Saccharomyces cerevisiae S288C: one gene and its partner. The gene in region 2 interacts genetically with the main gene of each other region. Each region holds a gene or a part of one and is shown on either strand. Other genes may lie near its edges.

Region 1 (5,766 bases), on a different chromosome or scaffold from region 2:
TTCAACCCTTTGGCGTCGACATCAGCCATCTTCCCATTACCAACCCTCCCATTTTTCAAAGTTCTTTACCAGCGTTTGATCAGCCCGTGTACAAAAGACGCATATCTATCTCCAATGGTCAGATTAGTCAATTAGGCGAAGACTTAGAAACGGTTGAAAATCTTTACAACTGTCAGCCTCCGATCCTATCGTCTAAGGCGCAACAGAATCCCAATCCTCAACAGGTGGCAAATCCAAGCGCAGCCATATACCCAAGCTTTAGCTCGAACGAATTGCAAAACGTGCCACAACCACACGAACAAGCTACAGTCATACCCGAAGCTGCACCTCAAACAGGTAGCAAGAATATCTACGCTGCAATGACCCCGTATGATAGCAATATAAAGCTTAACATACCCGCAGTAGCAGCCACTTGTGACATTCCTTCTGCCACGCCTTCTATCCCATCTGGCGATTCCACAATGAATCAGGCTTACATCAACATGCAACTCCGATTACAAGCTCAAATGCAAACTAAGGCATGGAAAAACGCTCAATTGAATGTGCATCCATGTACTCCAGCCTCTAATTCTTCCGTTTCCTCTTCTTCTTCCTGCCAAAACATTAATGATCATAATATCGAAAATCAATCCGTCCATTCTTCAATTTCCCATGGCGTTAATCACCACACTGTTAATAATTCCTGCCAAAATGCCGAGTTGAATATTTCAAGCAGCCTTCCATACGAATCGAAATGCCCTGATGTCAATTTAACACATGCCAACTCAAAACCACAATACAAGGATGCCACTTCTGCACTGAAAAACAATATTAATAGTGAGAAAGACGTACATACCGCGCCCTTCTCCTCTATGCACACTACAGCAACCTTCCAAATAAAGCAGGAAGCTAGACCCCAAAAAATAGAGAACAATACTGCAGGCTTGAAAGACGGTGCTAAAGCTTGGAAGCGTGCAAGGCTACTAGAACGAAACAGAATTGCCGCTTCCAAGTGTCGACAGAGAAAGAAAATGTCACAATTACAACTTCAAAGGGAATTTGACCAAATAAGCAAAGAAAACACAATGATGAAGAAAAAAATTGAAAATTACGAAAAATTGGTTCAAAAAATGAAGAAAATTTCGAGGTTGCACATGCAAGAATGCACAATTAATGGTGGTAATAATAGTTATCAAAGCCTTCAAAACAAGGATAGTGATGTTAACGGGTTTCTGAAAATGATTGAAGAAATGATACGCAGCTCCAGTCTATATGATGAATAAAAGTATTGCGCATACTTCTTATGGGAGATCCAAATTCCCAGTACATTAGTTTGACTCTCCTTCCTTAATGTTTTCCTCTGTACGATTATTTATGTTTAAACGATTTATTTTACTATGTATGTATTTCCTTTCATTTTCTTTCGGAGTCATATATATTGCTGGGCGGCTAAATGTTTCCGACTTGTAAAAGAAAACATAACAAACATCTTGTAGTTGTGAAACAGTTTCATTAAATAATCTTTTAGAAGAGTAAGGACATGAGTAGAGGCAAACTGGAAGATATGGAACAAAAGGAAACATCGGAAGTTGACTGGATAATCGTACGTGAAATTGTCACATCCTTAACCTATTTTCTCTTTACTAACTTTTAGTAAGAGGTGTAATCTCCTCGAATATTATCTATGACAGTGTTTTGCTTTAATTCAATCCAGGAATCCTACGTTGTGGAAGAGGGCACTTTCAAGAAAGAAAGGAGATGTCGAAGATGTAGGTGCTCTCAAGAGTGAAAAAAATTTAAAAATAAATCCTCGGGAAAACTCAAAACATATATACAAATGGGTTGCGCCTTTCGAAAATGGATTTTTGAATAATAAATCACTGTTTGCTCATCTGGAACCTATATACAATTTCCTTTGCCAGAATAAGTACAAAAGCTTCGAAGATGCAGTTGGTTTAAAGGAGCTGCAATCATTTAGCAAAGATGTATCAACTGCTGATATAAACAACTGGTTTTTACCGAGATATAAAATTCTGCTAAAAATCCTGAGCTTAAAAACAAAAGAAATTGACTTTAGAGGGTTATCGCAAGTGTTTCAAACACTCCAAATCTTGTTAGTTTCTCATTATTCGCATCGCATAGATTCTGATTCTTCTTTTAAGAGGACACTGATAGACGTTCATGTTTTCAATTTCATCGCCAAGTTTCTGTTTAATAGAATTTTATTGAAGAAGAACCAAAACGATCCAAAATGGCTTCAAAACTTTTACGACCAGGGAGATGGCAAACATTTATGTGATAAAGTTGACTACAAGCGCTTGTGTTCGTTGCATTTTACCCTTATTTACTCTATTATTAACATTCAACTCATCAAAATCAAGACAAACCAAACATTTGAACCGCAGATATTAAAATACGTATCTGTTCTGAAATTAATTGAACACATACTTATCATCATCGAAAGTCTGATACATGTACTTATTAGATTTGTATCGAAGCATAAACTAATATGCATCAACCGGAAAAAGGCGTACTGTCGAGTATACCTCGAAAGAGAATTGAGTTTGAAGAAAACCTACTTAAAGAACTTTTACAGTGTAATAAGCGGTGTCCCAGAAAAAGAGTTAGGGGGTCTATTGAAAATACTCAAGATAGTTATTCTATCATTGCTCGAGACATTTGAAAGCATTGAATGGCAGCACTTAAAACCTTTCCTGGAAAAATTTCCGGCTCATGAAATATCGCTTCAGAAGAAAAGGAAATATATACAGGCGGCCTTATTAATTACTGCCGAAAGAAATTTGATAGCGCGCTTTCGATTGTCAAGATGGTTCAATGAGACAGAAAACATTTAATTTTTCTTTTGCAGTAGGAGGCGCATTATAAAACACAAAAATATCGAAAGCTCTTTCATTTCGGGGACAACAACTTCAGTTGAAAATTACAGTGAACACAACATCTTCCCCAACAGACCTACATTAAAACGCTTCTTCCGGACTTGCCCATGATTAACCTAATCTTATACGAACTGAATTAAACTTTACGGTATTACCGATAGGAAACTTCTATTTTATGATTTTTTCGTTCGGGGACGGAACGAACAGGAAACAAAAAAAAAGGTACGATCCATTGTATTCTCTACCCCCGTATATAAAACTAAGCTGAACAAGCCTGTTGTTTTGCTTTACTATTGCTACTATTTTTGACGTAAACGCATTGACTAATTTCAGGTTTTTATATTCTTGACACTAGCTAGACCATAGTATCGAAGGATTCAAATACACTAAAGTATCAGATAATGTTCAGCCTACAAGACGTAATAACTACAACCAAGACCACCTTGGCAGCAATGCCAAAAGGTTACTTACCAAAATGGTTACTTTTCATTTCCATTGTATCAGTCTTCAATTCTATCCAGACTTACGTTTCTGGTTTAGAATTGACACGTAAAGTCTACGAAAGAAAACCCACTGAAACAACCCATTTGAGTGCAAGAACTTTCGGTACTTGGACCTTTATTTCCTGTGTTATCAGATTCTATGGGGCTATGTACTTGAATGAACCACACATTTTCGAATTGGTCTTCATGTCTTATATGGTTGCCCTATTCCACTTCGGCTCTGAATTATTGATCTTTAGAACTTGTAAGTTGGGAAAGGGATTCATGGGTCCATTGGTTGTCTCAACCACCTCTTTGGTTTGGATGTACAAACAAAGAGAATACTACACTGGTGTTGCTTGGTAATTCTGATGTAAGGGCAAGCATATCCTGTAAAAAAAATTATATAGAGATGATTTATTTATATAATGCCTATAGCAACCTTTATCCAAACCTTCCGTACATTATTTAACAGCAATTGTTTATCATTCATGATTATTTCTCAAAAAGCTGCCAATTTGGCTTCATTTCTGTAAGTATCCCTACCTCTCTCCTCTAACGCAGATATTTCTGTGCACGTGATCTCGTTGGCTTTTTTTTCGGCCGAAATTTTCACAGGCTAAGGCCGAAAAAGAAAGAAAATTTTCAGAGGAAAAAGAAAATTAAACGACCTCGAAGCCGTATTTTAGATTTTCCAATCTCTTATTTAGTAACGTGGTTTATTAACTCCATGATTCCATTCCTATTTGTTTTTCTTTCTTTCTGAAAATCCTCTTCTCCTCGAAATAACCCAACTGACAAAAAGAACAATTCCCAATGTCTGCTCCAGCTCAAAACTACAAAATCGCTGATATCTCTTTGGCTGCCTTCGGTAGAAAGGAAATCGAATTGGCTGAACATGAAATGCCAGGTTTGATGGCCATCAGAAAGGCTTACGGTGACGTCCAACCTTTGAAAGGCGCCCGTATTGCTGGTTGTTTGCACATGACCATTCAAACTGCTGTTTTAATTGAAACTTTAGTTGCTTTGGGTGCCGAAGTTACCTGGTCCTCTTGTAACATCTATTCGACTCAAGATCATGCCGCCGCTGCTATTGCCGCTTCCGGTGTTCCAGTTTTTGCCTGGAAGGGTGAAACTGAAGAAGAGTATTTGTGGTGTATTGAACAACAATTGTTTGCCTTCAAGGACAACAAGAAATTGAACTTGATCTTAGATGATGGTGGTGATTTAACCACTTTAGTTCATGAAAAGCACCCTGAAATGCTGGAAGACTGCTTTGGTCTTTCCGAAGAAACTACCACCGGTGTTCACCACTTATACAGAATGGTCAAAGAAGGCAAGTTAAAGGTTCCTGCCATTAACGTTAACGACTCCGTCACTAAGTCCAAGTTTGACAACTTGTACGGCTGTAGAGAATCCTTAGTCGACGGTATTAAGAGAGCCACTGATGTCATGTTGGCTGGTAAGGTTGCCGTTGTTGCTGGTTACGGTGATGTCGGTAAGGGTTGTGCTGCTGCCTTAAGAGGAATGGGTGCTCGTGTCTTGGTTACCGAAATTGACCCAATCAACGCTTTACAAGCTGCCATGGAAGGCTACCAAGTTGTTACCATGGAAGATGCATCCCACATTGGTCAAGTTTTCGTTACCACCACTGGTTGTAGAGATATTATCAACGGTGAACATTTCATCAACATGCCAGAAGATGCCATTGTTTGTAACATTGGCCATTTCGATATCGAAATTGATGTCGCCTGGTTAAAGGCTAACGCTAAAGAATGTATTAACATCAAACCACAAGTCGACCGTTACTTGTTGTCTTCTGGTAGACACGTCATCTTGTTGGCTAACGGTAGATTAGTTAACTTGGGTTGTGCTACTGGTCACTCATCTTTCGTTATGTCTTGTTCCTTCTCTAACCAAGTCTTAGCTCAAATTGCTTTGTTCAAGTCTAACGATAAGTCTTTCAGAGAAAAGCACATTGAATTCCAAAAGACAGGCCCATTCGAAGTTGGTGTCCACGTTTTGCCAAAGATCTTGGATGAAGCTGTCGCTAAGTTCCACTTGGGCAACTTGGGTGTTAGATTGACTAAATTGAGTAAAGTCCAATCTGAATACTTGGGTATTCCAGAAGAAGGTCCATTCAAGGCCGACCACTACAGATATTGATCAATTCAATTCCCATTTCAGTTCTTCTTTCTCACTATTTTTTAATGTTCAAAAACTCAACGGTTTGATCATCAAAAAAGATCATAAATAAATTGCAAATATAAAAACAACAGCTAACAATCCTATCACAGTATTAATACTAATACATGTGATACTAAGTTACGTTATCGAAAAGATAGATCCTGTATACCTATATATATAATAAATTCTTCAACAGTAAATATTTCATTCATGCACTTGAC
Region 2 (5,526 bases):
GTTTCTGCCAATGAAAAAAATCGCTTGCGTGTGCTTAAAATTTCATCCAAAGTAGCCTTTACGGATGCACTTGTAAATGTTAGCTTTTGTATAAGTAGCTCCTGTGGTGCTCTTTTCCTAAGATCCTCTCTTATTAAAAGATTGACATCCTGGACAATATCATCCCATTCTTCTATCATGCCTGCTGATTTTTCATATAAACCCAAAAAAGAACCATACTCTAGCTGAAATAAATCTGAAAGATTACTTAGAATTGCATCCATGACTTCTTGTGAAATTTTGTCCATCAGCACAACAAATCTTTGAACTGGATAACCTGAATATCTGAACTTCTTCAAAGAAGATGCTAAAACAGGAAATAGTTCCTGCAAGTCCTCAAGATTGCTTGCCTGGCGAACCTCATCGATAGGGATTGACGATAGAAATTGGTTATATTTATCCGCTAGCTTAAATTTATCTGAAAGTGAACCTTCATTCAATAAATTTGTTAAATTATGAAATCTCTTTGCGTTTGTTAGAACGGATAGACACACCTGAAATTCTTGGCTTTGTGTTTGTTCAATTAACGACTTCAGTACTTCGTAGAAATTCGACCAAAACTCAACTTCGTCTAAAAAAGAACCATTTTTTATATCTCTGTCAATGGCTAATGTTTGTTTAAGAACCAAAAACCATTTGTTTGCAATGCTTTGTAAAATGTTCAAAAATCTCATACTTTCCAAATCATTACTAGGAAGGTAGTTTGCATAATCATGTGAAGTAGCCCCTTTTGATACAGCCAATTTGATAATGCTAGGGACCATCGCTAAAAGATCTGGCGTTTCAATTGAGGTATGTAACTGTTGAAATTGTTTAGAAATGTCGTCAAGTTTCCTCCTCGTTTTATCTATAGTTTCGACAGAATATGTCTTTGTATCTGATTTTATCAATTGGCCAAACACAGACGATACGCCATGTGTGATAATTGAGGCCAGGTTCCCCGCATTTACTGGACCAGGTAAGTATATGGCACTTATTTGTGTTGCAATCGGTTCTGCATCCACAATAACACTTCTAGATTTAATAATTAATAGAGTAGAATACTTTTTATTCGCCAAGTTGGCATCATATATAGCCTCTTCACCAATGTCTATTGTAACTATTGTTCTATCCAGCTCTTCAAAAAGGAAGACAAACAACGTGTCGAACTCTCTCCCATCCAATAATCCCAAAAAAAATTGAAACCGTTCAAGGTATTGACAATGTAGATAATCAATGAATGCTTGCTCATTCTCTTTGGGAGAATTCTTTATACCCGTTACAGTAGCTGCAACAAATTCTATCAGCTCATTAGCAAGTCTTGCCTCATTCTTGCACATTGCCTAAAAAACGTTTTGACGTACTTTCCAATTTAAGCTCTGAACGAGTATTATTGCCCTTCTATGTTCTATGCTTTCTGTTAATTTTTATATGTAATGTTTGTTTACCTTTCATTAGCTTATTTATTAGAATCCGTACAATGCGACCTTCCGCGCATCAATTCGGGATGATCTGATTAAGTAGTTATAGCCTTACGTTAAGACGACAAAAGACATGATAAGCATCCCTCAAAAGTTACAGCAAACTTAAGTCAAATAGGTCCAAAAATCTCCAATAGTAACGCTTTTTCATGAATACACTATTATTTAAGCGAAAAGGTGGCAATTGTGGGAACGAAAGTAACATAGTTTCGCAGGGATCGCCCTCAAGTAGCAATCTTCCTGAATCACCTGGCACTTTAGATGAAAAGAATCTTCCCAGATTGCCTACTCCATTCGCTAGAAGCCTTTCTACCATTCCTAGTTATGAGCAGATGAAACGTACAAACAAACTGCCAGATTATCACCTAAAGATTGTTGTTGTGGGAGATGGCGCTGTAGGGAAGACGTGCCTGCTGATATCTTATGTCCAAGGAACATTTCCGACTGATTATATTCCTACTATTTTCGAAAATTATGTCACAAACATAGAAGGACCCAACGGTCAAATTATAGAATTGGCATTATGGGACACTGCCGGCCAAGAAGAGTATAGTAGACTTAGACCGCTTTCATATACGAATGCAGATGTGCTGATGGTGTGCTATTCTGTTGGTAGTAAGACATCGCTTAAAAATGTGGAAGATCTCTGGTTCCCAGAGGTTAAGCATTTTTGTCCTTCCACTCCAATCATGCTAGTCGGCCTTAAATCAGATCTATATGAAGCTGATAACCTTTCAGATCTGGTGGAACCAAGTTCAGCAGAATCCTTGGCCAAGCGTCTGGGGGCATTTGCACATATTCAATGCTCAGCACGATTGAAAGAAAATATCGATGAAGTATTTGAAACTGCCATACACACGTTACTTTCCGATTCATTATATGCTCCCAGAGAGCCTACACATACAATCAAAAATCCCTTTAAAAGAAATACCACCAGATCAGATATCGATTCTTCTACTGGAGATACCAGCGTCTCTATTTCCGGAACGAAAAGATTAAGAAAAAACAAGTGTATTATAATGTAAGAATAATGATGAAGATTATTCTGTTGCCCATTCTGTACGCACTTACAACATTTGAAAAGTGGCAAGAAAAAATACACACATTTTACTATCTTCCGCTATCTTATTTATCAAGACGAAACAATTAGAACCTGATTTAATTTAACTTCCATTTTTCTGAATCTGGTGTGATATACCGCTCCAATATATTCGAATTTATCCCAATTTTATCATAATAATTCATTTTAATTCGATGTCATAAAGTACTAATTCGATATTAATCTAGCCTAATTACATTAAATACTTAATAAAAGCTTCTGTGACATAAAAGTACAAATCTGTCATTTTATTTTAGAGGAATAGTTTAGGACAAAGTCATTATGTACGAACAGTTTGAATTTTCTTTTTTTTTCTTCGAAAATTCAGACAATAAGGTTAAATATAAAGCTCATCTCATCTCATCGATAAAACGCTGGAGTATTATCACATGCATGCGTTGCTTTTGGACCGTACAGAAGTCTATATTTAAAGCTAGGTTTTTCGCTTGCAGAAACTTTGTCAAGAAGCATAATTATAAACTAATCAGCACCATGACTGGAAGTACTGAAATGGTACCACCAACAATGAAACATACCGTTGACAACAAAAGGCTTTCGTCTCCTTTGACAGATTCTGGTAACCGCCGGACTAAGAAGCCAAAGTTGAGAAAGTACAAGGCCAAAAAGGTTGAAACAACTTCTCCGATGGGTGTCCTAGAATTTGAAGTGAACGATTTGTTAAAATCTCAAAATTTGTCCAGGGAGCAGGTTCTGAACGATGTTACTTCAATTCTAAATGATAAGTCCTCAACAGATGGACCTATCGTCTTACAATATCACCGAGAGGTAAAAAATGTCAAGGTCTTAGAAATTACTTCCAATGGCAACGGGTTGGCTTTGATCGATAATCCTGTTGAAACAGAAAAGAAGCAAGTTGTTATCATACCGTTTGGCCTGCCCGGTGATGTAGTTAATATCAAAGTCTTTAAGACCCACCCTTACTATGTCGAGAGTGATTTATTAGACGTAGTGGAAAAATCTCCAATGAGAAGAGATGATTTAATTAGGGATAAATATTTCGGGAAATCTTCAGGAAGTCAATTAGAGTTCTTAACTTACGATGACCAACTAGAATTGAAAAGAAAAACAATTATGAATGCCTACAAGTTCTTCGCACCAAGGTTAGTTGCTGAAAAACTTTTACCCCCATTTGACACCACCGTAGCTTCCCCTTTACAATTTGGCTACAGGACCAAAATTACGCCTCATTTCGATATGCCAAAAAGAAAACAAAAGGAACTATCAGTAAGGCCTCCTTTAGGATTTGGTCAAAAGGGTAGACCTCAATGGAGAAAAGATACTTTGGATATCGGCGGACATGGTTCGATATTAGATATCGATGAATGTGTGCTTGCAACTGAAGTTCTCAACAAAGGATTGACTAATGAAAGAAGAAAGTTTGAGCAAGAGTTTAAAAACTACAAAAAAGGCGCGACTATTTTACTGAGAGAGAATACCACTATTTTAGACCCTTCCAAACCAACTTTAGAACAGTTAACCGAAGAAGCCTCTAGGGATGAAAATGGTGATATAAGTTATGTCGAAGTCGAAGACAAAAAGAACAATGTCAGGCTGGCTAAAACTTGCGTTACCAATCCTAGACAAATTGTCACTGAATATGTTGATGGATATACTTTTAATTTTAGTGCGGGTGAGTTTTTTCAAAATAATAACTCTATCCTGCCAATAGTGACCAAGTATGTCCGTGATAACTTGCAAGCTCCCGCTAAAGGTGATGATAATAAAACAAAGTTTCTAGTAGATGCTTATTGTGGATCAGGTCTTTTCAGTATATGCAGCTCCAAGGGCGTAGATAAAGTGATTGGTGTAGAAATTTCCGCTGACAGTGTCTCTTTTGCAGAAAAAAATGCAAAGGCAAATGGTGTTGAAAACTGTAGATTCATCGTTGGAAAGGCTGAGAAACTCTTTGAGTCTATTGATACTCCAAGTGAAAACACTTCCGTTATCTTGGATCCACCACGCAAGGGCTGTGACGAATTATTCCTAAAGCAATTAGCCGCATATAATCCAGCCAAGATTATTTACATATCGTGTAATGTCCATTCCCAGGCACGTGATGTCGAGTACTTCCTCAAAGAAACAGAAAACGGTTCCGCCCACCAGATTGAAAGCATAAGAGGATTTGATTTCTTTCCACAAACGCACCACGTTGAGAGTGTGTGTATAATGAAGAGAATCTAATTGCACATATAAAATATCTATCACTATGTATATCTTTCTAGAGTAAATGTCTTCCTGTACTTTTAAATCCGTACATTTTGAAAATTGAAAATGTATCTCAGATTCATTTTTCAATTCGAAATGAACGAAAATTACACTAAAAAGGTAACGTGTAGAGTGATATTATGCACAACGATTTTTTGAAAATTTCATATACGTTATTCTAATGTTTAGTAGAGAGTTTAGCGGAAGATATAAGGTGATCAGGCGTAAATTAACCACATACAAACCATAGAAACATCATACCAAAATGGAAAACGATAAGGGCCAATTAGTATGTTCGAGAAATCTATAAGATTTTTTATATTTTAACGGATGAATGGAAAGTGCATGGCTGTTTAAATAAATGTAAGAAAGATATCATAATGCAAACAAAACGTAGGCATCCGCAATGTATGGAAAACATACTTATGGTTACCGATAATAAGCAACTCCGAAGGTGCCATAGACCAGCTCTGAATGCAGCCTACAAAAGTTGAGCAATTTCTGACAAAATTCTTCGATTACTTTCTTCACATGTATTAAATCATCACTCACCACCACCAACAATGTGTTTTTTAAACTAGCATAACTAACAAAGATTTGTTTTACATCAGGTCGAACTTTACGTTCCAAGAAAATGTTCTGCTACCAACAGAATCATCAAGGCTGATGACCACGCATCTGTTCAAATCAACGTCGCTAAGG

The links.
Region 1: mutations in RHO4 (region 2) and MEI4 together harm fitness more than expected from each alone (negative genetic interaction), as found in Saccharomyces cerevisiae (2 studies listed by BioGRID).

Annotation. Positions count from the first base shown.
Region 1 is NC_001137.3:235,528-241,293, reverse strand, and holds MEI4 (Mei4p), read left to right. Parts: upstream 1-1,519; coding exon 1,520-1,582; intron 1,583-1,670; coding exon 1,671-2,834; downstream 2,835-5,766. Other genes in the region: ACA1 (Aca1p), read left to right, coding at 1-1,262; ERG28 (Erg28p), read left to right, coding at 3,278-3,724; SAH1 (adenosylhomocysteinase), read left to right, coding at 4,175-5,524. UniProt on the Saccharomyces cerevisiae protein: Required for meiotic induction of recombination, viable spore production and chromosome synapsis. Component of the MER2-MEI4-REC114 complex which seems to be required for meiotic double-strand break (DSB) formation.
Region 2 is NC_001143.9:546,568-552,093, forward strand, and holds RHO4 (Rho family GTPase RHO4), read left to right. Parts: upstream 1-1,648; coding exon 1,649-2,524; downstream 2,525-5,526. Other genes in the region: DYN1 (dynein heavy chain), read right to left, coding at 1-1,358; TRM2 (tRNA (uracil(54)-C(5))-methyltransferase), read left to right, coding at 2,881-4,800; 40S ribosomal protein eS21 RPS21A, read left to right, coding at 5,090-5,113, 5,436-5,526. UniProt on the Saccharomyces cerevisiae protein: Plays an important role in cell growth. Required to keep the uninucleated state. May be involved in the organization of the cytoskeleton which affects microtubule functions.